7 linked regions of the Oryctolagus cuniculus genome follow. The protein of the gene in region 2 purifies or fractionates together with the protein of the main gene of each other region. This does not show direct contact. Links are inferred from orthologs where the notes say so. Each region holds a gene or a part of one and is shown on either strand. Other genes may lie near its edges.

The links.
Region 1: the proteins of ESR2 (region 2) and PRMT5 purify together in Homo sapiens (affinity purification with mass spectrometry; 3 studies listed by BioGRID and IntAct, with this or other methods). This does not show direct contact. The link is inferred for Oryctolagus cuniculus from reciprocal best matches to the Homo sapiens genes ESR2 and PRMT5.
Region 3: the proteins of ESR2 (region 2) and SRSF5 purify together in Homo sapiens (affinity purification with mass spectrometry; 3 studies listed by BioGRID and IntAct, with this or other methods). This does not show direct contact. The link is inferred for Oryctolagus cuniculus from reciprocal best matches to the Homo sapiens genes ESR2 and SRSF5.
Region 4: the proteins of ESR2 (region 2) and SURF6 purify together in Homo sapiens (affinity purification with mass spectrometry; 3 studies listed by BioGRID and IntAct, with this or other methods). This does not show direct contact. The link is inferred for Oryctolagus cuniculus from reciprocal best matches to the Homo sapiens genes ESR2 and SURF6.
Region 5: the proteins of ESR2 (region 2) and PSMD1 purify together in Homo sapiens (affinity purification with mass spectrometry; 3 studies listed by BioGRID and IntAct, with this or other methods). This does not show direct contact. The link is inferred for Oryctolagus cuniculus from reciprocal best matches to the Homo sapiens genes ESR2 and PSMD1.
Region 6: the proteins of ESR2 (region 2) and NUP205 purify together in Homo sapiens (affinity purification with mass spectrometry; 3 studies listed by BioGRID and IntAct, with this or other methods). This does not show direct contact. The link is inferred for Oryctolagus cuniculus from reciprocal best matches to the Homo sapiens genes ESR2 and NUP205.
Region 7: the proteins of ESR2 (region 2) and MRPS9 purify together in Homo sapiens (affinity purification with mass spectrometry; 3 studies listed by BioGRID and IntAct, with this or other methods). This does not show direct contact. The link is inferred for Oryctolagus cuniculus from reciprocal best matches to the Homo sapiens genes ESR2 and MRPS9.

The regions. Positions count from the first base shown.
Region 1 is NC_091443.1:52,081,992-52,086,149, reverse strand, and holds the start of PRMT5 (protein arginine N-methyltransferase 5), read right to left. Parts: upstream 2,801-4,158; 5' UTR 2,592-2,800; coding exon 2,482-2,591; intron 2,456-2,481; coding exon of another isoform or gene 2,397-2,455; intron 1,847-2,396; coding exon 1,728-1,846; intron 1,415-1,727; coding exon 1,329-1,414; intron 1,161-1,328; coding exon 1,026-1,160; intron 390-1,025; coding exon 277-389; intron 136-276; coding exon 86-135; intron 1-85. UniProt on the Homo sapiens protein: Arginine methyltransferase that can both catalyze the formation of omega-N monomethylarginine (MMA) and symmetrical dimethylarginine (sDMA), with a preference for the formation of MMA.
Region 2 is NC_091451.1:6,167,694-6,171,984, reverse strand, and holds the start of ESR2 (estrogen receptor beta), read right to left. Parts: upstream 2,801-4,291; 5' UTR 2,769-2,800; coding exon 2,350-2,768; intron 1-2,349.
Region 3 is NC_091451.1:15,600,881-15,604,932, reverse strand, and holds the start of SRSF5 (serine/arginine-rich splicing factor 5), read right to left. Parts: upstream 2,801-4,052; 5' UTR 2,517-2,800; intron 1,802-2,516; 5' UTR 1,783-1,801; coding exon 1,657-1,782; intron 1,383-1,656; coding exon 1,312-1,382; intron 1,196-1,311; coding exon 1,097-1,195; intron 810-1,096; coding exon 740-809; intron 1-739. UniProt on the Homo sapiens protein: Plays a role in constitutive splicing and can modulate the selection of alternative splice sites.
Region 4 is NC_091432.1:235,363,650-235,366,830, forward strand, and holds the end of SURF6 (surfeit locus protein 6), read right to left. Parts: coding exon 2,932-3,181; coding exon of another isoform or gene 2,908-2,931; exon of another isoform or gene 2,863-2,907; coding exon 2,839-2,862; 3' UTR 501-2,838; downstream 1-500. UniProt on the Homo sapiens protein: Binds to both DNA and RNA in vitro, with a stronger binding capacity for RNA. May represent a nucleolar constitutive protein involved in ribosomal biosynthesis or assembly.
Region 5 is NC_091434.1:8,119,332-8,122,831, forward strand, and holds part of PSMD1 (26S proteasome non-ATPase regulatory subunit 1), read right to left. Parts: intron 3,043-3,500; coding exon 2,964-3,042; intron 1,538-2,963; coding exon 1,364-1,537; intron 1-1,363.
Region 6 is NC_091434.1:171,397,587-171,401,086, reverse strand, and holds part of NUP205 (nuclear pore complex protein Nup205), read right to left. Parts: intron 2,744-3,500; coding exon 2,593-2,743; intron 902-2,592; coding exon 696-901; intron 1-695. UniProt on the Homo sapiens protein: Plays a role in the nuclear pore complex (NPC) assembly and/or maintenance. May anchor NUP62 and other nucleoporins, but not NUP153 and TPR, to the NPC.
Region 7 is NC_091433.1:103,559,594-103,563,878, forward strand, and holds the start of MRPS9 (small ribosomal subunit protein uS9m), read right to left. Parts: upstream 2,801-4,285; 5' UTR 2,714-2,800; coding exon 2,579-2,713; intron 1-2,578.

The sequences.
Region 1 (4,158 bases), on a different chromosome or scaffold from region 2:
GCTTGCTCACTATGGACAAAACTGCTGAGTGCTGTGCACAGACGCCACAGGAAGGACACTTATCCCAGGACCCTTGTAGACTCACCTACTGCAATCCTCTTGCTATAGTCACACAAAGTTCGGAAGTTGTGCCACCTGCCCAGAGTTGGATACAGAAAAACACACATATGTGTGGCCCACCAATCACCACAGCTCAAGGAGACTTCCCGACAGGCTCTACCCGTACTTCCCTTCACCCTGCCCCTTGCTCTGGAGTAGTAGCAAAAGGAGACATACCACATCCACGTCTTCTCCTCCCCACTGTACTCCTCTGAGTGTGGAGCTGGTGCATTCTCAATTATATCATCTCTCAGGTCCTCCGGTGCCACCAAGGGCACACGCATCCAGAACTGCACATCAACAGGTGCCCTTTTAGAACTCGCTCTTGAACTCATTGGGTCCAATAACCATCTCACAATTAAAAAGACCTTGATCCAGATCTCAAATTAACCCCTTTAGATGGTTTTCCCAATTTGTGATTTTGTACATGTATCCTGTATATATCCTTAAGCAAATATCTGCCTTGTGGGGCCAACAATGTGCTGTAGCTGGCTAAGCCTCTGTCTAAGGTGCTGGCATTCCATATGGGCACAGATTCTAGTCCCAGCCATTCCTCTTCCGACCCAGCTCTCTGCTATGGCCTGGGAAAGCAGTAGAAGAGGGCCCGAGTGCTTGAGAGACCTGGAAGAAGCTCCTGGCTCTTGGCTTTGGATCAGCCTAGCTGCGGCCATTTGGAGAGTGAACCAGCAGATGGAAGATATTTCTCTCTGTAACTCTACCTCCCTTAAAAAAAAAATCTGCCTTGTGTTTCAATTGTAAAGTTTCAAGAAATAATGAGATATTGTGAAACTGTCTGTTAGCAGGGGAGTGAGCAATAATTTCCATTCTGCCAAATTCCCGCTTCACTGACTGGCAGGCCCAAGAAGCTCCCGCACAGAGCCTGACTACCATGATATGCAGTGGGAAAAAGAGACCCTCGACCATACCATGGAGGAGTGGTGGCCAGTGTGGATGTGGTTGGTCAAAACTCTGGCCAGGTTTGTGTTATCTTCCTGATTAAGGGGCAGCAGGAAAGCCGGAAGACCCAGATACGCCCCAAAATTCAGCTCCTGTAACATGGCCTGGAATGGAGAACGGGAGGAAAATGTTAAGAGCTAACCTCCAAATAGCTTTCATTGCATTCTGTTAGTTGATTTTGTAACTGATGGAAGGGAAAAACGCTCTCCCACCCAGCTCGGGTACAGAGGTCATCTTTAGAACGCTCCAGGAGAGGTCAAACACTGTCTTACCGCCTCCGAGTTCCTGCGGATCTTCTCCACTCTCGAGTCTGGACGGATCCATGGAGAGAGCTTTCCCACAATTAGCGTATTCCAGTCTGCACTCCCCCACCCGGGAAAGACAAAAACTGAATGAGGTTCAGTACTGTACTGGTTCAATTTCTAGTTCTTGGTAGGGAACAGAAAATAGAGATGAGAGACAAAGGCATTTTCCACCACAGACATGGGATAGTCTGATGCAGAATAGGCAACTAAGGCTTTTAGCAAATAAGCAAGGAGAAAACGAGAATTCCCTAGATCCCAGGGGCTATCCAATATATCCAAGTCAGAAAAGGAGGAGAACGAGGGCTCTGATAAAGCAGAGGTTGTTACTGCTGCTAACAATTAAGGGGCATATGGGATGGTCCCTACCCCTTCCTGACAGCAGTAGGTCTGATCGTGTCTGGGGGCCCGGCCGATTCTTAGCAGGTTCCTGAGTGAACTCCCTCTTGAACCGCGGGTGGAAGACAGGCATGCAGAGGAAATCAAACCTACAACCGCGACAGACCCAGAATCATCATGTAAAGAGAGCCAAGCACTGCACTTAGGCTACCTCAACTGCGCACAGCCCTTTCAGATGCCACCAGTCACCGCGCTGGCTCCTGGTTGCAGCCCATCCTGGGACATACCACTTCCCTGCACCGTGCCTCAATTTCTCCCCCAAAACACAGGCAGGGAAAAGATGAGTAAGGGAAAACGACGGAAATCCACGCCAAGTAGCATTCTCTCTACTCTGGGGTCACTGGCTTTCCAGGACTGTGATGTTCAGAGCTGCCCCAGGGCTACCTACACCTACCCTCCCTGCACATGAACCTCCTCTCGCCTTTGCCCCCAACACTTCCCCCTACTCCCGCATACTCATTTTACCCCCGGAGCCCTAGGGGATTGGCTGTATGCCCCCTTTTTGTATCCCCGACAACTCCCCCGACTTCTGGACTAAGAGGCCACACGACTCCCCTAACTTTCCACCCGCCGGGCCGAAGCTGCTCCTCTCAGGAGTAATGGGGTTTCTCACGCCCTCGTCCCATCCGGCCCCTTCACCCCTGCCTCTCGGGGATGACTAGCCTGCCCTTTTCCGTCCTCGAGTTCGGACCCTGCATTCCGCCCGCGAAGGTCTGGCCCTCACCCCTGCTTGGCCACAGCCCCCAGTGTGTCAGCTATTTCGGGGACGCAATTGAGGTCCCTCCCGCTGGACACGCGGCTCCCACCGGCAGCCCCGACCGCCATCGCCGCCATCTTTCCCTCGCGCTCTCCACGCCGGGATTCCTTGATATTAGCAACCAATCACACGCTGAACCAGGCCCCGAGAAGGCGGGACGAGTCGCCTTAACAACCAGAGCGTCCTCCACAGCTCCGGAGCAAGAGACGGAGGGGTGGAGAGTGACTCTTCCCGCCAATCCGCGGGCTGCACCGTGACGTACGGCGTGGCTCCTGCAGATCTACCAATCTCAGGGTCTGGTTCGTGACGAACCCGAATCTCCCAGAATGCTTTGTGCAGCCGCCGAATGCCGCCGAGGGACTACACGTCCCATGAAACCCTGCATTGTAAGCTTGAAGAATCATTACAGAGCCCAGCGCGATTGTCTCAGGGCCAGTGGCGCAATGGATAACGCGTCTGACTACGGATCAGAAGATTCCAGGTTCGACTCCTGGCTGGCTCGTTGGGACTGGTACTCCTTTATTGCATCACCTTCCCCAGAAATTGTGGTTTCCGTTTTCCTTCCTTCACTGTTGAAAGCTTTACTTCTTTCCACCCTCTCACTTTTCAGGTCCCAAGTTACTTGGGTCCTACAGCCATCTTTACTTAACCTTTTCCGTCACCTCTTTCAAATGTGTTCCTTGTGTCATTGCTTAGACCCAACTAAACTGGGTTAATGGCTGGGGTTCTGTTTAAACAAGATTTGTCCCCTTACTATGTTAACCTTTTTAAATAGATTGTGATAACTGACAGTGTTTAATAGTGCTTGTGTCTCAAACACAAAAAGGTGTAAATCAACACCTAAGCGCACACTCACAGCCCCTCGAGGTAGAGAAAACCAATTCTTAGTGAGAGATTGCAGTGGACGGGAATCATGGAAATGCATTTTCCCTTTACAGGAGAGAGACGGGAAAAAAGAAAGGAATGAAGCAAGGAAAGACGGAGAGAGGGAAATGGAGACCCCTGAAGGCAGGGAGCCCACAGGTTCAGCACTGAGGGCTGGAGAGGTGATCGCAGCACGAGAACCCTACGCAGGGGGCGTTAACAGAATTTGGGGTCCGCTTGTTAGGCGGGTGATAGCCCAGGGTTCTGTCAGTCCTTGCGGTTCGTAGAGAATCGGGGTTTGGGTCTGGACGTGCTGAAGTGGATGTCTAGGGGGCGCTGTGTAACAGAGCTGGGTGAACCGTGGTCTGAACCGAATAGGATCTGGAGCCCGCCGGAAGAACGGTAGCTAACGAAGCCCTGAGAGTGATGAGCTGACCGTAGCCGGTGCGGATCAGAGGCCTGGGAAACCCGGAAAGGGAGCAGGAGGGGATGAGCCCCACGAGTCCTGGGTGCGACTTAAGTGCCCCCAACGGATGAGAGTCAGAAAAGCAAAGCGCCAAGAAAATGCACCATGAAGCCTGAAGGGGTTGGAGATGCTGTGTCTTCTATTATTATTGTTATTATTACCAGACTTTTTGTGTACTTCTGGATCCCATATTACATTTAATTGTCACATCTCTCTAGATTCCTCTTGGCTGTAGCAGTTTCTCAGCTGTTTCTTGTCTCTGATGATCTTGATAGTTTGATGGTATTGGCCAGATAGACTATACAATGCTCCTC
Region 2 (4,291 bases):
TGGACTCCAAGTCACATGGAGACGAATACTATACTCTGGTTAAAGAGAGGGAGGTGGGGAGAGGGCAGAAAGGAGAAGAGAGGGGAGGAAGCGGGCAGCTGCCTGGCCAGGGAAAGCTCAGGTGGGTGAAGCAGAGGCCGGGCCCTGGCCCCACGGCGGAACCGGCCCAGCAGGGAAGCACAGGCAGCACCAGACCCAAGCCCGGCCACTTCCTCGTTTTGCTAGGGCATATTTCGTTTGGAAAGTATGATAAAGGGTTGACCGTTTGATCAATGAAGGTAATTTTCATTTGGTTTAGCTTGTCCAAATATCAGAACTTTGATCAGAATTCATGCTCAAAACAACATACTTCTGCCTTTAAAGGCTGAATGAAAAGCACTGCTTTTATTTTTTATTTTTTTAAAGTACTGCTTTTAAAAAGTTTCCCGTGGGGCCGGCCTTGTGGTGCAGCGTGTAAAACCACCTACAAGGCCAGCACCTCATGCAAATGCCGTCTGTGTCCCAGCTGCACCACCTCCAGCTCCCTGCTATTGGGCTGGGAAAAGCACTGGAAGATGACCCAAGTGTTTGGGCCCTGCCGCCCATCTGGGAGACCGGATGAAGCTCCTGGCTTTCACCTGGCTCAGCCCTGGCCACTGTGGTCATTTGGGGAGTGAACCACCAGATGGAAGCTCTCTCTATATATATATCCCTCCCTCCCTCCCTCCCTCCCTCCCTCCCTTACACTCCGCCCTTCAAATAAGAAAAGAAAGTAATGAACTTTCATATCCAACATGTTCTCATTTAACTTTCACTGTTTTAGAATTTCATCTCCCTCTTCTCTTCCCCTCATTAATGTCTTCCCTTCAGAGGTACAACGATCATTGAAAATGCCCATTAGACTGAGGCCAGCGCTCTGGCTGTAGGCCAAGTTTCCACCTGCCCATATGGGCACAAGTTCTAGTTCCAGCTGCTCCTCTTCCTGTCCAGCTCTCTGCTGTGGCCTGGGAAAGCAGCAGAAGATGGCCCAAGTCCTTGGGCCCTGCACCTGCGTGGGAGACCCAGAGGAAGCTCCTGGCTTCAGACTTGCCCAGTACCAGCTGGCTGTTGCGGCCATTTGGGGAGTGAACCAGAGATGGAAGACCATTCTCTCTGTCTCTCCCTCCCTCTCTCTGTAATTCTACCTCTCAAATAAATAAATCTTTAAAAAAAAAAAAAAAGAAAGTATTATTAGACTGAAATAATCCATCTTACCTTGCATTTAAAGAGTACAAATATTCTTTTCCACTTCAGGAAATTTCAAATGATGTCTATATTAAATGGTTTCCCACCAACTTTATAATGGGCTGGGCGTCTGGCCTAGCAATTCGGATGCCTGCACCCACATGGATGTGCCTGGGCCCTTCACTCCAGCTCTCTGCCGATGTGCACTCTGGGAGGCAGCAGTGATGCCCCAGCAGGTGGGACACTGCCACCTACAGGGCGGACCATGATGGAGCTGCCAGTTCCCGGCTTCAGTCTGGCCTGGTTCCTGCCACTGTGAGCATTTGAGCAGATACAGGGATGCTGCCTATCCCTCCTTCTCTTTCTCTGCCTCTCAAAAAATTTTAAGCTGTACCAATTGCCTGTCTTTACAGGTTTCAGGCGGCTAGTATTCCTTTAAGTTGTAGTACTGCCACACTTATTTTTATCCTGGGAACAATTTTTCATGAACACTATATTGTGATTTCACTATGAGTCTAACCTAAAACTAAAAAATTTGGTATTCAAACTTAGGAAAAAAGGAAGATAATTTTTATAATATAAATACAGCAGCATTCAAAATAGTGAGCTGTGCCTGCAACACTCACCTACAAGTACAATTTTTCAATGAGGACTGGAATATTAGAAGAGAACATGGGGCCAGCGCTGTGGCATAGTGGGTAAAGCTGCTGCTCGTAGAGCCAGCATCCCATATGGATACGGGTTCAAGTCCTGGCTTCAGATTGGCCCAGCTCTGGCCATTGCAGCCAACTGGGGAGTAAACCACTGGGTAAGAGACTCTCTCTCTCTCTCTCTCTGCCTCTGCCTCTCTGTAACTCTACCTTTCAAATAAATAAGTCAATCTTAAAAAAAAAATAAAAGGAAGACTAAAACAGTGCATCACGTTTCAGGTGCTCCAAGTAATGAATGACTTATTACGAGAGTTGCTCAAAAAGTTCAGGGGACAATGGAATTAAAATGTGAACTCCAGCGCCACACACACACTCCACGAACTTTCTGAAGGGTCCTCATAAATGAAGACACTGGGAACGCACGTCCGTCTTCTCGGTAACCGGGAGGGGAGCCGAGCCCCCACGGAATACGGCTCAGAACGAAGGCCGGCCTCACCTGTTCACAGGCGAGGGGTGCTCCAGCGGTCGCACTTCACACCACGAAGGCTTCTGAGGTTCTGGGTACAGAAGTGACGACTGACAACGGATGGCTAAAGGAGACAGGTGGCCAGGAGTCGGCCACAGCACATCTGGACTTGTGGGCTGTCGCCCCGGCCCACGGTCCGCCTCACTGGCGCCGCTGGGGACGCTGTAATTCATCATGGCAGGGCTGTAGAAGGTCATGGTGGGGTACTCGTGGTGGTCCTCTACGTAGGAGGAAGGGACGTAGAGGGGGCCGTGCTCCAGGGGTAAGACAGACTGACTGCAGTTGTAGGAGGCAGGAGAGTGAAGGCTGGATGGTGAGTTTTTGATATCCATGTCTTGACTAGGTAGCAGCTGTATAAACTCCTTGCAACACGAGGCACGGAGGGACATTACAACATCCTCAAAGGCTCATGGGTGGGGAAAATAGCTGGAAAGAGAAGCAAAAGACATTGCTAAGTTACACCTGCAGTTGCAACAGCTGAAAAGTGTTAAAACTTTTTTATTTTAAAAATATTCACATCTAAATAGGATTACAAATACATCCTGAAAGATGTGTATGAAAATATTAACTCAGAGGGGTGGGAATAAGCGGTGTGCACTACTCATCTTCTAGTGTATTTCTTGGTTGGTTTTGTTGTTATTGTTAACCACAGGAAATTTTTCATGATGGGAACTTATCCTACAGGAGTATTTAAAAAAGCAGAAGATTAGTAGTGGATGTTTGGCTTGGCGGTTAAGCCATCAGTTAGGACACCGCCCTCCCATATCAGAGTGCCTGGGTTCAAGTCTCAGCTCCACTCCCATTTCCAGCTTCCTGCTGATACACCCTGGGAGGTGGCAGATGATAGCTCAAGTAGTTGGGTCTGTGCCACCCTCATGGGAGAGTTGAACTGAGTTCCTGGCTCCGTGCCTGGCTCACATCTAGCAGTTGCCACAAAGTGTTTTTTCTAGGATTAGACAAATTTATTTGAAAACTCTTATTGGAAGAGAAGATCAATTTGTAACAGTGCAAGAATTAACAGATATTCAAATACACTATGAATCTCCAATAATAAAAAATACTGAATAACAGCACATGGAAAGACCGACCAATGCAACTGTGTCACTTATCATTCTACTGTCTTTCAATTTTAAATGCATCCTTCAATGTACGGTCTATGGTAAACCATGGAATTCCTTCAAGGAAGGAAAAGTGCGTGCAATACTGAGCCTTTTCAGTAGAGGGCGCTAGAGGCACACTGCGAGACTTGCTGTAATTCCTAAACCCTGGGAAGGATGTGAGACCAGCCCAGCCACAGGTCCAGAATAAGGTTCCTCTGTGACCTTCCCACTCGGTGTACTGATAACCTTCCCCAGTCACATGTTCAAGCTGTAGCCCAAAGGGTAGCCCACCACAAAATAATGAGTGAAGCGAGACTTGCCACCCTCTAGGGTCTGTGTGTCACTGGGCTCCCAGTGCACACCCATGCCACTCGCTGCGGACTGCCAGCTGCCCACTTGCATTTGGAAGGGGCAACTCCAGAGCAGCCCGGCTTATCCCAGCCAGCATCACCGCTAGCTAGTGGCTGAACCTCACTTTCCCTATTGAGGTCTGAACCCCTCCAAGTTTGTCCTTCCTTGGGTACTCTTCCTCAGTCCCAAATATCAGAGTTCTTCATATCTTACACTTAATCTCCTATTATAATTAGTAATTCTTTATGTTAAACTTCCCCTGTTGGAGGTATTATGTAGTGTCTACCTCCTTTGGACCCTGACTGCCAAAGGAACACAGCAGAAATCCAGAAACAGAAAAAGCCAAGCAAAAGACGAGTCAGCCGAGATGGTGGAGTAGCGAGGTAGCTTCCTGCTCTAGTCCAGGAAAGACAGCTTTAAAGGGGAGAGAGTGCAGTTTCTGGGAAGAGTCAGGGAGAAAA
Region 3 (4,052 bases), about 9.4 Mb from region 2:
TAGGCCCGACTGGCTCTTCGCCACCCACTTGAAGGATACTACCCAATCGCTGGAAGCCTTTAATCGCACAGCCCCTCCCTATCAGCGGACTACTGGCGATGCAGACATGTTCTACTCTTGAGCAGTTACCAAGGACCACTGCACTGCGATCAGGACGCCAACGAACACCTAATTGCGTATCTTTCAACTCTTTTCGACCAGGACCTCTTATTCGGAAGCGTTACAGGAAGACAGCTTTCAACTTAGGGATCAGATCACGTTATCAACGCTCTGGGATCGCTGCAACCTGGCACTTCAAGGAAGTGCACCGATTACGTCTAGACCGGCAAACACAGATCTAGAGGTGGCCAATTGATCACTGTAGGAGCTGACTGGCAAAGTCAACCAGGCCCAACCAAGAGTGACCAAGACAACGATTAGGATAACCCACAGGCACTCCTCGTCATAAGGCCAACGACACAGATAGGCTGGCAAATAAAGGGTTTAATATTTGGTTAAAATTGATTTTTCAAAACAAGAAAAATATCCTCAAAACATTTACATTTGATTAGTTAATAATAAAATATCCCCCAATTACAATTAATTAATTTAACTTTACAATTACAATTCCATTAAAATAAATTAATTAAAGATAAAATTACTTTTAATTTTAAAACATTAATAAAACATTAGCTACCCATTAATATTTCTTTTAAAAAAATCCACATCAAAATAACGCAAAAACCGTATTTCAACAAACCTGCCAGCTGACTCTTGAGGATAAATTCTCAACTATAAGTCGATTTTCTGTTCTTACAGGTGGAGCATTTCTGAGGAAGAAAATGAGTATTCACAATGGAAGCAATGCAGTGCCGAGCGCACTTCTAGTGTTCAACCCTGGACAAGCTCAAACACTCAGCCGTGACAAGTCACCAGGTGACTTCCATCAACACTTTCTGTGTTATTCTGTGACTCATTACAGACTCACCAGGACCAGTGAGCTAACACAGGAACACACCAGACTCAAGTCCCAGCATCATTTACTGTTAATGGTTCCTCAGGCTTAAACCAAGTCCCGGTAGCCAGAATCAGCAGCAGTCCTCCGCCCATCACATACCGTCTATCATTTCGAGGTCTGCGACTACTAAATCGGTCAGAATATCGTCCTCTACCTCTTCCACCTCGAGACCGAGCCCGAGCGTGTTCAATAGTTACCCTACAGAAACAAGAACGAGCCCGCGTTATACACTCAAGCTGTACGGGAGCGAGCCCTGTTTAAGATAACATCCCGGCCGCCTTGGTCTGCTCCATTTTGCACTAAGAACCTCTCACCTTTCACTGCAAAGTTCTTTTCCATCAAGTTCATATACGGCATCATCTGCATCCCTGGGATCCTCGAATTCCTACAATAAAGTGTAAGACGCTTAGCGCGGCTGCATGTGTGGACACAACATACAAACACTAAAAGCAGGGCAGGGGAGGGGAGGCAGAGCATCAAGACATGACCACGCAGATAAACCTCATCAAGAGGGTGACTCGGCTGGGGATCCCAGTCAGCCAGCGGGTTCTTTAAGACAATTCGCTAACTTTTATGCTGCAGACACAATATTCTACCTGGACACGGTACTGCTCACCCAAAGCTTTACCCACTCAACAACCCTTGTTCTGAATACTCACCACGAAACCAAAACCCCTTTTCAGATCAATATCCCTTATCCGTCCGTAGCCCTTGAAGAACCTCTCCACGTCTTTCTCCCTGGCCGCCGGATTTAGCCTCCCGATGAACACTCGACAGCCGCTCATGGTGTCCGGCTAGCGCTTCCTGCCAGAGAATCAATCAATCGAGACAATACCAATGAAGGGCGCAGAGGAATGCCGGAAGAAGCCACCGAACGCATCACACGTAGCTTAAAACTTTTACCCGGCAGGGTGACAACACGGCCGCCTCCCAACGCGACCCCCCGGCTCTCCCCCTACCCCCGGGGCCCCGGACCGCAGCAACCGCAACGCCCACTGCCACCTCTCGCACTGCGCAGCCGCGCCGCCGCGCGACGCCCCGGCCCCCTCCCTTCTGCCGCAGTTAGGAAAGGCCGAGAACCGCAGGCGGAGCCGACCCCGCCCTCCGCGAGACCAGCCCAATGGCAGAGGCCCGGCGCGTCACAGGGGGCGGGAACCTGCGTCTCGCGAGACCGCGGCCGCGCCTGCGCACACAACGAAGGGCGGGCACTCGGCGGCCCCAAGATGGCGGCCGCGGAGTCAGCGCCGGGCAGAGTAGCGCGAGCCAAATTCTCCCTCTCCCTCCCCGGTGCCACCATTCCGGACTCATTCTGCCCGCCCGCAGGTGGCCCCCGCGCCACACCCTGAGCAAAAGTCAGAGCCGCCTAGGCCCACGACTCGGGGCGGCTGGATAACGAAGCCGCAAGAGTGGCAGGGAGGGGCGCGCAACCCCTGTGTACAAACGACCGCAAACATGACCACCCCTCCACCTTCACTACCCCTCAAGCAACACCAAAAGGGAGACGTGCCCCAGCGCCCACCTCGAGTCAACTGCGTTCATTAGACGCCGTCCTCCGCAAAGAGAGCAGCCCCGACCACTCGCGACCTGAGGGGCCATGGAGAAGCCTCGATCCGAGAAGCCTTGCCCTCAAAGTGAGCCACTCACCTACCGGACAGGATCTTTGGCAGCTGAGACCCAGAGAGGTCCGTAGTCTGCGACGGAGTCGTCAACCTCCCTGCAGACCAGAACTTAACTCGTCTACGCCTCTCGACAACTGACGCACTTAGTAGCGCTGGCGTTCCACAAAATGGAGGGCGCGTCCCTACGTCACTTCCGGGACCGCCCATGGGGCTGTGGTGCACACCCTGTTGGGTCCAGCGCCGGAAGCTTCCGCAGGGCAAGGGTCTTCCTACCGCGACCCCTAGAGCGACCCTCAGACTGCGGTGGGTGGGGTCGGGGGCGGAACGGCAGGTGCTTCGGAGCGGTAGCCGTTGGAGACGTTTGCTTCTCCTGAGGCGTGGAGTTCGGATCATTTACATCGTTCCCATAAAAGTCTCTTAAAGCAAATTGGACCCTTTTCTGTATCCGGAATTTTCCTCGGGTACCCAGAAGATTACGAGTGATTGAAACTCGGGCTCTGTAAAAAGACCTGGCTGCCCTGACTCCGTGCTGCGCGCTTCATGTGGTTTCACTCAAGGCCAGGGCGCTCCTTGATGCTCAAGTCAATCGCCATGGACATATGGTAGTGAGAAGACCTAAGGAACAGAATAATTTTTTTTAATGGAAGGTTTTTTGAGTCATGAAATCTTAAAATGGAGACTATAGCGTGAAGGCCCTCTTGAATTGAAACCGGAATATGGTTTTCTGCCTTGCCACCACTCTGCAACTGAGCTGGCTTGAAGAGGTTTCCAGCTGCCTTAAGTCCAAATGGGATTTGGTTAATCCGCCCTGTTCAGGTTTCTGTAATGAAACACATGAAAGCCTACAATTCTTCAGCGACACAATTTGTGTTGTGCTGTTAAAGTGGGTGTGCAACAGGGCAAATACGTGGGTATTTGAACTCCAGTGTTTTCTCAATAAGGTTGCCAGGCCTAGAATCTTAGGTGTAAAGAGAACTCTTCTTTAATGCTTTTAGGTGGAAACCAAGGCACTCCATTTCTGAGCAGGCCCAGCATCTAGCGTTACATGCTTGGAACTAGAATTACACAGACAGAAAATAGTTCAAGCAGAAGAGCAGCTAGCCTTACCCGTGACCTCTGGAATGGGGCCCTCAGGAAGTCTGGATGAGAGCATGGAGAGTTTGTATGGGGCCAGCTCTTCCATTCACACAGTTTTAAATGCAAATAGCCCCAGTGGGGGCAAACAGTGTTATGAAGTTACCTATGGTGTGGGGAATTAGGATGGATTTTAAAGATGGTAAGTATTTGTTGAAACTTTATCTTTCCCTGTTGGCTCAATACACTCATTGGCATTTTAAAGTGTATCTCTTGCCCATGGGGCTGGTGTTGCTCCACAGTAAGTTAAGCCAATGCCTGTGATGTCCGCATCCCGTATGATCACCAGTTCTAGTCCTAGC
Region 4 (3,181 bases), on a different chromosome or scaffold from region 2:
TCTCCGTGCAGCCCAACAGCACAGCCACCAGCGCGACCAAGGACTTCACACATGGCTAACAACCCGAGTACTTGCTTAATTAAAATTAATCACGGGGCCAGTGCTGTGGCATCACCAGCTAAAGCCGCTGCCTTCAGTGCCGGCATCCCATATGGTCACTGGTTCAAGACCCGGCTGCTCCACTTCCCATCCAGCTCCCTGCTGTGGCCTGGGAAAGCAGTAGAAGATGGCCCAAGTCCTTGGGCCCCTGCACACTCATGGGAGACCCACAAGAAGCTCCTGGCTTCCAACTGGGGTCGGCTCAGCTCCAGCCGTTGCAGCCATCTGGGGGAATGAACAGTGGATGGAAGACTCTCTCTCTCTCTGCCGCTCCTCTCTCTGTGTAACTCTGCCTTTCAAATAAATAAATAAATAAATGGTTTAAAAAAAACCCTTAAATCACCATTCACAGCCCCTGGTTTTATGCCGCTGGCATTCACTTGGATTCAAAACAGCTCCTCTGTCTTTGCTTTTTTTAATATTTATTTACATGAAAGGCAGTTACAAAGCTTTCACTCCTGGTTCACTCCTCAAACGGCAGTCAAGGCCGGGGCTGACAGGCAAAGCCAGGAGTCTGTGACCGCATCTGGGTCTCCCCTGGCACCGCTGTCCCCAGGCCTGACGGATGGGAGCTGGGTCGCAAGTGGAGCGGCTGGGATGTGAACCGTGCTCCCGTGGGATGCGGCTTCACGCGCTGTCACAGTGCTGGCCACGCCGACTACTTTTTAAAACCTGCTGTTCCTCCTCGAAGTTCACCTTCAACAGCATGAAGTCCAACCCTCAGCGAGCACAATTCCATGGCACTGAGACCTGCCGACAGGACACCGAATCTGGGCTTCGTCTTGGTTTTCCAGGTTTGCTTGTGAAGTGTGGCTGTCTGTCTTCCTCTGAGTCCCTGCCCTGGCCGACTCAGCCTGGGCCAGCGCTGTGGCCAAGCGGCCAAAGCCACCATGTGCGACACCAGCGTCCCACATGGGCAGCGGTTCAAGTCCTGGCTGTTCCACTTCTGACCCACCTTCCTGCTAATGCACCTGGGAAAGCAGCCAGGACATGGCCCCGGTGTGTGGGCCCCGCACCCACGTGGGAGACAGGGGAGGAGCTCCTGGCTCCAGCCGCTGGGCCATCTGGTGGAAGCGCTGCCTCTAGCACTCTGCTCCCTCCAGAACGCACAGACAGAAGGCGCGCGGGCTTCCTGGGGGCATAGCTGGGAACATGGGTGCTGTGGGGAGCAAACCGGACTAGACTGAGTTACTGGGATTAAGACTTATTCTATGCATCTGCTCCCCCACAACATGGCGCTGGGAGAGAAGTAAACAGCTTCCGCACAGCTGCCTCCAGTTCAACTAATAAACTGTAGGACTTGCTCCTGATTGGAGGAGAGCAGCGTACTCGGCGTGTGGGCAGCCGAGTTAGGATTGGCGGAGGAGGACTATAAAGGAGGAGAGAGACGGCATGCACGAGGAACATCTAAGGGGACCATCTAGCTGAAGGAACACCTGTGCAGCCCCCGAGAAGAGCCGGCCGGCGGTGTGCCGCTCCCCTGCGGAAGTGGGGAATGTGGCCAGGGGGAACTGCCCTTCCACGGAGGTGGAAGGGATAGTAGCCAACCCGGGAAGAACCAGCAGCAAACCCGGGGAGGGCCGAGCAGACGAAAGAACAGCGCAGGGTCCTGTGTCGTTCCTCCACGAAGAGGGGGAGCGACAGGTGCAGGGAGGGCCCAACGACCCCCACCCACTGAGCGGGGGAGGGGTCCTGCCCGGGGCAGAAACGCTGTCCTCGTGCCCCTCGCTGGGCCTGTGCTGGCGGAGGCCACTCAAGACCACGGCCTCGGCTCAACGGCAACAGACTCAAGAGAACGCCCAAGGAGAGGCGGACGGACCCCTCCACCTCCTGCGGCTGAGCCCAGAGCCGCAGAATCAGCTCACTTTTTAAAGAAAAAAAAATGTACTTATTTATTTTGAAAGTCAGAGTTACAGAGCTCTTCCCCCTGCAGGCCCACCCCCAGACGGCCACAACCACTGGTCAGAGCCAGGAGCCCCAGCTGGGCCTCCACGGATGCCGTGAGGGCCCAGAAATCTGAGGCATTTTCCGCTTTTCCAGGCCATTAGCAGGGAGCTGGACTGGAAACGGAACGGCCAAGATTCAAACAGGCACCCACACGGGACGCCGGCACCAAGGCGGCGGCTTCCCTGCTGCCACACCGGCCCCAGCCTGGTCGTCACACAGCGCACAGTGCAGCCGCACGAGGGGGAACAGGGTCAGAGACACCCGGCACCACCCGCCTGCCCGCGGCACTCACCACGGGGGTGGGGAGAGGCGCCGCTCAGGGCGCGGGGCTTCCCCCCCAGACACTGAGACACCAGCTGCCCCGCCCCTCACTCCAGAGGGCAGGGGAGGCCCGCACAGCGTCTCCGCCTCCGGCCAGTGCCCTGCCCAGGGTGGCCAAGGGGCCACCTCCTCCTGCAGCGTCCGTGTGCGATGCTGCCCCAGGGCGACTGAGCCCCAAAGACCAAGATGGAAACAGCGGGCAGGGGCCGGGTGTCTGGGCCCAGGACAGCCTCGCCCAGACTCCGGCCTCCCCCGAGCTCCACCAGCCACTCTCACTTCTCACTTCGGCTTCTCATTGGTCCTGAGCATGTTTCTGGCTCAAAGGGCAGTCCGAAGACACCCGCACCTGTCCCGTGGCCCGGTGACCGCGGTAGGGGAGGGCGGCAGTGACGTGGCCTTCCTCCTCACCCTGCAAGCGTCTGGGGCGCTCTCCGCTCTCAGGGGAGACGGCCGGGGCCCAGCACAGGCCGCTCAGGCCAGGCCGGCCCGCGCCAGGTCCTGGGGGGCCCAGCTCGCCCCTCCCCCAGCCGCACAGGCCGCTCAGGCCAGGCCGGCCCGCGCCAGGTCCTGGGGCAGCACGCGGCCCTTCTTGCGGGCCCTCTGCAGGCGCCGCTCGGCCCTGGCCGCCTTCTTCTGGCGCAGGTTCTGCCGGCGCTTGTCCTGCCGCTGCTGCATCTGCTGCACCACGCGGGCCGAGCGCTTCTCCCAGCGGCGCTGGCGCTGGGCCCGCCGCTTCTCCTTGCGCTGCAGGGCCGCCCGCAGCAGGCCCTCGTCGTCCCGGATCCTCACGCCCTCCGCCTTGTACAGCAGGTTG
Region 5 (3,500 bases), on a different chromosome or scaffold from region 2:
TCTGGGAAGTAAACCAGCAGATGAAAGATCTCCCTCTCTCTCTTTCCCTCTATTTAACTCTTTATTTTGTCTTAAAAGATTTATTTATTTTATTTGAAAGGCAGAGTTAGAGAGGGAGAGGGAGTGAAAGAGAAATCTATCCGCGGGTTCATTCCCCAGACAGCCTCTACATCCGGAGCAGGGCTAGACCTAAGCCAGGAGCCAGGAGCTTCTGCTGGGTATCCCACACAGGTGCAGGAGCCCAAGCACTCAGGCCATCTTCTGCTGCTTTTCCCAGGCACATTAGCAGGGAGCTGCTGAGAATCCAACTGGCACCCATGTAGGATGCTGGTGCTACAGGCTGCTACAGGCAGCAGCTTAACTTGCTACAGCACAGCACCAGCCCCTTTAACTCTTGATTTTCAAATAAATAAATTTTAAGAGAGAAATAAAATGTTTACCTAAGACCAGAGGAAATAAAAGATGTGCGTCCATACACACATGATTAATGAGAGGTAGATTAGCCGAGACAGACCATCCTACTGGCTTCCATCTTTTCACTAAAATATGAGGATAAGGTTTTCTAGTTCACTTAATTGCTCACCTGATAAGTCTTCTAAAAGAGTTTACTCAAACATGGAAATTAAAGTCTAACATCCTATTTAAGGTTCCCTAAAGTTAAGGACAAGGTTGCTTAATAAGCTTTTCCAAAAGACTTATATTTAAAAAAAAAAAAAAAAAAAAAAAAAAGGAAAGAAAGAAAATTAAGCTGCTATTTAAGGCACTTGCATTCCACAAATCAAACCTGGGTTTGATTCCCAGGCAGGAATCCTGATTCCGGTTTCCTACCAATGCAGACTGGGGGCAGCAGCTATGACAGCTCAAGGAACTCGGTTCCTGCTATCTATGTGGAAGATCTAGATTGTATTCCAGCTCCTATCTCAGGCCCTGGGCCAAACCTGCCCATCTGAGGCACCTGAGGAATAAATTAGAGGATGGGAACTCATTCTCTGCTTCTCAGTAAGTAAAAATTTCAGGAAAAAAATTCAAAAAACAAAAATTTTTATTTCTAAGAGAGTATGTGTAATTTTGAGGGCTAGTTTCCAGTACAATGATAGGGTTGGACTACATAACCAAAGTCACACAGTTATAACATTCCAAGATGTCTATTTTACATGGGGTTTAAAGGACCAAGAATCACAATTTTAGCTTATAGAGAAGGAAATAAAATTATCTTAAAAAACACAACAGCTTTAAGAGAATAGTACTGTTTTGTATATTCCAAAGTCCTACAAAATCTCTATTCATTAAAATACTTTGGTAAATGTCATATTTTCTTGGACTTTTAAGTAATGGAAATTTAGTTTTCTATTTCAATACTTACATCATTGCTGGCATTCTTAAGCTGATTAAGCAGATAGTCAATTATATCACCACCATGATTGGCATGAATGAGACCCAATGCATAGAGACCTCCACCTTCCTGATAGGCTGATCCAGGAGAAGTGTCCTTGGGAAGGTATGTCGCCATTAACTGTAACGCTTCCTTTTCATGACCCTGTAAATTTGAGCCACAAAGATAACAGTATGGAGAAGGGAGAAAAAAGACGTCACAATTTTTATGATTACTGCCTTTCTTCGTAAGTTCACTTGTCTTTTAAAGAGGTGCTAGTGGGGCTCTCTCCCATACAACTTAATCATTCAAGTGAGAGAAAGGCTTTTAGAGAACATGAACATGCTGATTAGAAAAACTATTGAGGGCTGGCCGGCGCCGCGGCTCACTAGGCTAATTCTCTGCCTTGCGGCGCCGGCACACTGGGTTCTAGTCCCGGTCGGGGCACTGGATTCTGTCCCGGTTGCCCCTCTTCCAGGCCAGCTCTCTGCTGCGGCAAGGGAGTGCAGTGGAGGATGGCCCAAGTACTTGGGCCCTGCACCCCATGGGAGACCAGGAGAAGCACCTGGCTCCTGCCATCGGATCAGCGCGGTGCGCCGGCCGCAGCCTGCCAGCCATGGCGGCCACTGGAGGGTGAACCAACGGCAAAGGAAGACCTTTCTCTCTGTCTCTCTCTCTCTCACTGTCCACTCTGCCTGTCAAAACATAAATAAATAAATAAATAAATAAATAAACAAACAAACTATGAGGGCACCAATGTTGTGGTATAGCAGGTAAAGCCACTGCCTGTGATGCAGGCACCCTACATGGGCACCAGTTCATGTCCTGACTGTCCCACTTCAGATCCAGCTCCTTGCTAATGGCCTGAGAAAGCAGCAGAAGATGACCCAACTGTTTGGGCCCCTACTCTCAAGAGAGACCCAGATGAAGCTCCTGGCTTCAGCCTGGCTCAGCCATGGCCACTGTAGCTCTCTGGGGGGTAAGCCAGGCAATGGAAGCTCACTCTCTCTCTGTAAAACTTTGACTTTCAAATAAATAAATAAAATCTTAAAAAAACAAAACAAAACAAAAAGACTATGAACATGCGGTGGAATGAGAAGGCCATGCCAAGATGGCTGCTGGCAAGTAAGCGTCAGTTACTCAGGAATGGCTTTGAATCCCACCTGACAACAGAGCCTGACTGACAGCAGGCCGTGATTGGATGGTTTCAGAAACTGCCTGGCAACAGGCTGTGATTGGATGGCTTTGTTTAGGGCATAGACCGCCCCTTGACCAGATTGGCTGCCTTGGCTATATAAGCAGCTGTAGCAACTGAAATAAACGAGTCTGGGCTGCTCCCCTCTGGCCCACTTTCACCCGACTCCCAGGGTCTGTGTGGTGACTCCGCGCCTCTTGCCCCCACCACGCTCCTCCTCTCAGAAACGAATCAACCTCAACACACTTTGAACATGCTTTTTTTTTCCCTTTACTTTGTAACATTTTCCTGAATTCATCTTAGACCATGAAAACAACATTTAAATTCATCTTCTGCAAAATGGCTTAGACAGTCTTCTGTTTCTAACGCTGCTTTCCACTGATCAGGATGAATTACCTTATGAATTACACCCAAACTGGCTGTGGCAGTAAATTTTGCCCAGTTAGTGGCTCTGGCCAACCACTCCAAGTTATCTCTGTAAGAAAAAATACTTAATGATACTATTAAAACAGAAAAATTACATAAAACTTTTAAACATGAAAATTTAAAAACAAAACAGGGGCTGTTGTTGTGGTGTAGTGGGAAAAGCTGCTGCCTGCAATGCTGGCATCCCACATAAGTGCTGGTTTGAGTCCTGGCTGCTCCACTTCTGATCCAGTCCCTGCTACTGGCCTGGGAAAAGCAGGGGAAGATGGCCTAAGTGCTTGGGCCCCTTCCCCCATGTGGCAGACTGGGAAGAAGATCCTGGCTCATGGTTTCCTTGCAGCCACTTGGGGAGTGAGCCAGTGGACGGAAGACCTCTTTCTGTTTCTCCCTCTCTCTGTAACTCTGACTTTAAATAAATTAATCTTTAAAAAAAAACAAAATCCCCAAAATATTACCTTTAACCATTTCAAATAATTTTACTTTGTGGATCAAGTTACTGTAAAACCC
Region 6 (3,500 bases), on a different chromosome or scaffold from region 2:
ACATTATAAAGTACATATTATACTATACTATAATGTACAAATGAATAACTACTCTGTCGTTTCTACTTTTTAGTATCGGGCCCTTTTAATTCAATGAGAAATGACTACTAAACACTATTAAGCATCATTAGAAAAATTAATAAGTGAGAAGACACTATGCTTATCCTTCAGAGAGAATGCAAAGTTAAGCAATATAAGTTTGTTTTAGCAAACAATAAAAATAAATATGAGATTTCTGAGTTGGAAAATTATGGAATCAAAATAATGTTTTTTTACAAAGGTAATTTGATAGAAGTAACCAAAATGGTTAGGTGTGAGAGAAGAAATTAATTTCAGTACATAACTTTTTAATTAAAACTTTTCTTTATATAAATATTCATACACCCATCCCACACGTATATGCTCACAACCAAGCTAGCAAACTTTCTGGAAGAAGGTGCATGCAATAACTAATTCTTATTTGCCCTTTTTTTCCGTCAGGCTCAGGTTATTACTTTCATCCTAATATTAGGCCAGTAAGTAAAGCTATAATAATTTATTCCCTTTAGAGGGCAAATAAACAAAAAACTTAAAGACAGAATGCTAATGATATGCTAATTGTATCACTTATAAACTTTAAGCAGTAAAAGATGTTGGCCCTTTACCATGCCACTGAGCTAGAATACAGAGAGTGCTGCCATGGAGGGGCTACCTACCCAAGTAATGATGGTGGACGTGAGCTGTAAGAAAGCGATCAACCCGTCTTGCTCCTTCTGGGTGATGCCACGAGAAGGCAGGTGGCGGTACTGGACGCTATCCGCACTCGGGAGGTCCTTCCGGAGGTGCTCATGGTAAAGCATTAAGGAGTGAAAGAAATGCTCCCAAGAAACAGGGCTGCCACCTGCACCCTGAATATTTTCAACTGTAAAGAAAAGCACAGAATTCTCTCAAGAATCCCTACACATATGCTTGGAAATGAGGATTTATATAAAAGTATAAATTTTGTTTATCTGTGTCTTAGCATCAAGGCAATCTTTGTACTACATAGGCTAGAATTCCTCTGTAACTTAGAACTTGAATTTCTGCTCAGAGCTAAGAATAGGGACACATATATGTAAAGGTAAACTGCCTGACAAGCCCATTACCTGCTTCATATTCAGGGGAGTTCTCTGTAACTAAACAGGGCTATTTTTCCACAGGATAATTCACAAATGATGAGCTTGAATTCCCCCCCAAAAAAGAGGTAACTACAGCCTAGGTTTGTGAATTCTACTACTCCACTACATACCAAGCTGGGAGCAAAACCATAGCACATAAGCCAGGCCTTGACAGAGTGTCAGCACACTGACTTTGGAGTCAAAGACAGCTCAGTTCCACTTGCGGCTCTTTAAATACCTGTGCCCTAGAATAATTACTTAACTTCTCTAATCCTCCACTTCTTCACATGTAAAAATGAAAATAATATCCACCTAACAAAGCAGGTATGGTTCTTCTTTTGCAGCATTTTTGGCTTAACCAGACTTAAAAGTCTGAAAAGCAAATGAGGAAAAATTGGTCAAGAAAAGACTCTTAAATACTAACAAAAAAAGAAAAAGACAATAAACACCTAAAAGTTAAAGAAATCAAAGATAGGTCACAAGTACACATACTTTGTACACTAGATTTATTATTGAAAATGTATATACCCGTTGAGCATCCTTTACTCAAGATGCTTAAGACCAGACATACTTCAGATTTTGGATTTATTTTTAAAATTCTGGAATATCTGTACATATACAATGAGATAACTGAGGAATAGGGCCCAATCTAAACACAACATCCAATGATATTTCATATACACCTTATATACATGGCCTGAAAGAACCTCACAAAAAATCACCAATATTCTTTAAAAGGTAATTGGGGTACTGAACTCAAGAGTGAAGAACAGGGGCCGGCGCTGTGGCATAGAGGGTAAAGCTGCCGCTATCCCACATGGATGCCGGTTCGAGTCCCGGCTATTCCACTACCACTCCAGCTCTCTGCTATGGCCTGGGAAAGCAGTGGAAGATGGCCCAAGTGCTTGGGCCCCTGTACTCCTGTGGGAGACCCAGAAGAATCTCCTGGCTTTGGATCAGCATAGCTCTGGCTGTGCAGCCATGTGGGGAGTGAACCAGCGGATGGAAGACTTCTCTCTCTCTCTCTCTCTGCCTCTCTGTAACTTTGCTTTGGAAATAAATAAATCAATCTTAAAAAACAAAACCGACTGAACAGAGTGTGGTATACCACACAAAGCCATCCCCAGCAGCACACCCCCTGCAGCCTCCCGTACCAGAGTGCTGGTTCAAGTTCCAGCTGTTCACTCTTCTGGTTCAGTTTCCCACTAACCTATCTGTGAAGGCAGAGGATGATGGCCCAAGTGCTTGGGTTCTTGCCACTCATGTGAGAGATCAGGATGGAATCCCCAGATCCTGGTTTCAACCTGACCCAGAGCTAGCGCTATGGACATTTGGTGAGTGAACCAGAGATTAAAAGATCTCTTTCTCTGTCACTCTGCCTTTCAAATAAGTATTTTTAAAATGAGAGGAAAAAAAAAAAGACTGGAAAATCAAACAACATGTAGCTCTTCCTTACCATGGCTACTACCATTGACTTTGAGTAGGCTGAAACAGTAGTGGGCACACTGAGGCCCGCTGGCCAATCCTCGCAGCATTTTCAAATAAGGGATATAAATAGTTGGAGGCAACAAGTCACCCATTTGCCTAACAAACTTAGACAAAACAACCTGAAATAGAAAAAAAACAAAGAGATTATATGTAAAGTGTTTCTTGAGTTTAAGGCAACATGAGCCAATTAACAAGGACTACATGTAAACCAAAACTATACATATATACTTTTTTTTTTTTTGGACAGGCAGAGTTAGACAGTGAGAGAGAGTGAGAGAGTGAGAGAGAGAGAGAGAGAGAGAGAGAAAAGTCTTCCTTCCGTTGGTTCACCCCCAAATGGTTGCTATGGCCAGCGTGTTGCGCCAATCCAAAGGCAGGAGAAGCCAGGTGCTTCCTCCTGGTCTCCCATGGGGTGCAGGGCCCAAGCACTTGGGCCATCCTCCACTGCACTCCCTGGCCACAGCAGAGAGCTGGCCTGGAAGAGGGGCAACCGGGACAGAATCCGGCGCCCCAACCGGGACTAGAACCCGGGGTTCCGGCGCCACAGGTGGAGGATTAGCCTAGTGGGTCAAGGCACCGGCCAAACCAAAACTATATTAAGTACTCAGATTTAACCCTCACAAATGATAAAAGTAAATGTTAATCTATAGATTCATATGCATTTTGTCATCCATTACAACTTCTAAGCCTCTCTAGCACCTGTATCTCTCCCATCTTCTCAACGTGGTAGGAAGTATATACACTGGTTATTACCATGCAAATGCAGTACAGGCTAAAATACTGCTAAAACATTAATGAGCAAGTGTGGGGAGCAACTCGGACTAGACTAAGTTACTGGAATTAAGACTTATTCTATGCATCTGCTCTCCCACAATA
Region 7 (4,285 bases), on a different chromosome or scaffold from region 2:
CTGGGGAATGAACCAGCGAATAGAAGATCTCGCTCTGTCTCTGCAATTCTTTAAATTAAATAAATCTTTTTTAAAAATTTAACAAGAAGAAATCATTCTTTATCCATCTTATTGCAGTAATAACAAATAAAACCTAATGTAGTAGAAAGGAGGAAATCATCATACATCAATGATGAAAGATGAACTGCTTTAGTCTTTTCAAAAAACTATATGGAAATTTCTATTAAAATTCAGGATATATGCATCTTGGCAGCAGTAACTTCCCAAGTGGAAATCTCTCCCACAGAAATAAAAGCATCAGCTCCTAAGAACTGGACCAGGATGTTTACTGCAACACTCTTCATGGAAAGAAATCTACATGGAGCAAATGCCCATCACCTGTTATATTAATTGTGATATATTCATGCCACAAAATATTGGGCAATTTAAAAATGCTTTAGACACACATTAAGTGACTTGGAAGTATTTCTACGATATATGTAAGCTGGAAGAGCAAAAAGTAGAATGCAATCCAATATATTCCATTTTTTTAAAATTGATTGATCTGAGAGGCAGAGAGACAAAGCAAGAAGTTAGGGCCAGAGAGAGAGGGTGCATATTTCTATCTGTTGGTTCACTCCCCAAATGCTCACAATGGTCAGGAATGGGCTGGGCCCCGAACCAGCAGCCCAGGAATTCAATTTAGGACTCTCACATGGGTGGCAGGAACCCAATTGCTGGAGCCATCACAGCTTTGTATCAAGGTCTGCATCAGCATATGTTCATGTAGGTTTGCATATAATGATAAAAACATGCAGAAAGGCAATGAAGGTTAGCTATGTACGCTTGAAGTTCAGGGGAGGGAAAATTAGCCTCCTCTACCTCTGCATGAATTGTCAACAATAAAAATATTCTGCATTCTACAGGCCCTTTCATATAATTATATGTACATAGAAAAGATATACTCAAAAAGATGCACAATTTTAAGAAGAAAAGACAAGAAAAAAGCTGGGACAGCCTTGTGGCACAGCAGGTTAAGATGCCAGTGCAAGGCAGCACCCCAAATCTGAATGCAGGTTCTAGTCCCAGTTACTCTGCTTTCAATACAGCTCCCTGCTAATGTGCCTACGAAAGCAACACAAGATGGCCCAAGTACCTGGACCCCTGCCAGCCACATGGGAGACCTGGATGGGGTTCCAGGCTCCTGGCTTCTGCTGGGCCTAGGTTTAACTGTTGTAGCCATTTGTGGAGTCAACCAGTAGATGGAAGATCTGTCTCTCTTTCTGTCCATCTGCCTTTCATGTAAATGAAATAAGAAATTCCAGCACATTTTCCAGCAAACAAACCCAAATGTTTGACAGATAAAAGAATGGATGGATTGGTTGATTTAAGTTAAAACCTAAAAAAAAAAAAGCACACTGAAAAAGATGGTATTCTGGGGGGAGGCATTTGACCAAGCAGTAGGGACACCTGCACCCCACACAGGCGCACCTCGGCCCAAGTCCTGCATCTCCTCCAGAATCCAGTTTCTGCTGTGTTCACCATGGGAGGCAGCAGGCACTGGCTCAAAGCGCTGGGCCCCTGCTACCTATGTGGGATACTTGTCAGTTCCTGCCCACAGGCTTTTGTCCCAGCTGGGGTCACTGCAGACATTTAGAGAATGAGCTGGGGGACGGAGCCCTTTCTGTCTCTTTACAACTCAAATTTAAAGGAAAAAAAAGATTCAGTATAGTTTTTAGAACACAGTAGCTTACTTCTATGCAATAGCTGGTACTGGTTATCACTCTCCATCCAGGAAACACTGTCCTGTTCTCCATGACAAATATGTGGTTCTCCCCTGTCCTGCGCAGCTTATTCTCAATCTCTTGGGGCCTGACCTTTGACCTGTTTGTCCATCAAAGCTCTACTCCTCTGCCTACTCCTCACTCAGTGCCCTCTCCCAAACTGGTCCAATCCATTTCCAAGGACTCACCAACCACCTACAAGGTAACAGAGGACTTCCAAGTCAATTATCTTCCTGTCGATTTACTGGTCTACTGGGAATCTCCAATTGGAGATCCCACAGATGCCTTGAACGCAATTATACCCCCAAATGAAACTCACTGTCTTGCTTCTCAAATTTCTTCCTCCTCCTGAGATCCCATGTCCGTTAACTGGCGAGGGAGCGTCTTGGCTGGCCACTGCCCTCAGGATTAAGGGGAGTGTACCAACTGTGGTCTCTCAGAGGAAATTAAAACAGAAAACGCCCAGATGCAAAGGCATTTTTTTAACAGCATTCTCTGCAATCCCCGTTCCGCTCTAGTGTTCGGGTCCCGGGCACGCCCGAAGGACCGGACCCAACAGCCCACTTTCGGCACTGACCCCTTAGCCCCGCAGCCCCAGTCGAGTCAGGGGTCGCTCCGCCTCGCCTGCAGGTAACTTGCTCTCATGACACTCCGCAAGAACCAGAAGCAAATCTCAGAGCGGCAGCTGCAAGCCAGCACCCACCTCCGCACCCCCAACCTCAAGCCTCCAGGGTCCCGACCAGAAGCACGCCAGGCGCCGGCTTCACCTCCCCACGGTACCGGGACCACCGCTCCCAGTTCTCCCAACGCCTTACCTGGGATCCAGCACCTCTCTGAAACTCAGCGGCCGCAGTTTTCCAGAAGCCTTGCCTGGGGGCGAGGGTAACCCTACTCCCGATAAAGAGGCGGTAGCACAGCGCGCCGCAGCAGGACACACAGGGAGCCGCCATGTTGGTCGTGGGAAACCCGGGCGTCAGGGGCGAGGGGCGGGGCCTGGGGGCTGCGCATGCGCCAATGCGCGCCGCGGTCCCGAGCCTCTCAGAGGAAGAAGTTGTGGGGCCTTTAAAGCACAAGGGGTGTTTCCTACGGGCCGAGGCTGCTCGTCGGTGATTGGACGCGTGGGATCCGCGGGGCGTGTCCGACACCGTCCCCGGCCCGCGCGCTCCGCAGCGGGAGGGGTCCTGGGTCATTTATTTCGGCCTCTTTCTGTCTGTTCACTCCCAGACCCTAATCTTGCTGCAAATCGCCGTGGTGGCTCGTTGACGCACCCTTCCCGCCCGTGCGCCTCGCTGCACCTGGAAGCGGCTTTGGCCGCACCGAGACCTGCAGTGGAGGGGCGCCGGGGGGCTAGGGCAGTCGGCAGCACCTGCCTCGTTCCTGTTCGGAATTCGCGGTTCTCCAACCTCCGCGCTCCCTTCCGCTGGAAGGTGCCCCGCGGCCCTGGGTGCCTGCTTGCCTGCTTTCCCCGCAAGGCTTTCCCCCCACCCCGCTCCAACTTCCCGCAGGTGCAGGGCCGCCTCCGACACCTGCCCGGCCACACTGGGGTCTCGGCGCACGCGTTTCCACGCTGAATGATTGCAGGCCTGCGGGCGCGTCGCCTTCCCTCCAGCGTTACCACCAAGCCTTACTTACTGGCAGCCCTAGCCGAACGGAGTGGCGGTTGAATGGAGGTGCGCATACCTGTGCCCCTCTGACACGGCTCCTCGAAATCCGTATTAAACGGCAGAGTCAGCCTCCCTCAAAAGGGTTTCCAGGCGCTTCCATTTGCCCACACACAGAAAACCTGGGGTCACACAAAGTTGCCAAGCAAATACATGGCGGCCACTATCAACAGCATTTAAACGAACAAGCAAAAAACGGTTTCACAGTAGGAAGGTACAAATGGCATAATTTCACAATACAGAGTAGTTCCCTAAATGGACTGCCTTTAGTCATAAGGGAAGCTCACCCCGTTCTTGCTGTTGTTACCCTTTGGACAAATGAAAATTTCATCGGAAATTGGCAGAGATCCATGAGCTAGCATTTGGGAAACAAGAATTCAAGTTCTTAAAATAAATGCCTTTAAACCGTAGTTCCTACACATCGTAAAAAAAATTTTTTTTAATTAGGGGATCTTCATAAGTAAAAATCTAAGTAGAAAATAAGTATAAGGAAGCAAAATTTATACAATTATATGTTAGCACTATATATCAACTAAGTAGTGAAATTAGGGTTAGGAGCTCAGATTTTTTTCTTTCTTTTCTGAAATTCGTATTTCAAGTTCATCTGAAAGGTTTAAAAAAATTCCTTACATCCATGTTACAGTGTTAGTCTTTCACTAGAATACAGTATGTTTCCCACCTCTAGAGGCAACACTTGCACCACAGCACTGAATTTCCTATATAACCTTTGAGTTCGGGAGCAAAGACACTGTTGTATGTTAATATTGGGTATATAATTTGCAGACAGAAAGATTGGAATATGCTAATAAACATTTAAGTCTGAAAAACATGTGCCTTGCCGAATGGCTAAAGCTTGCATTC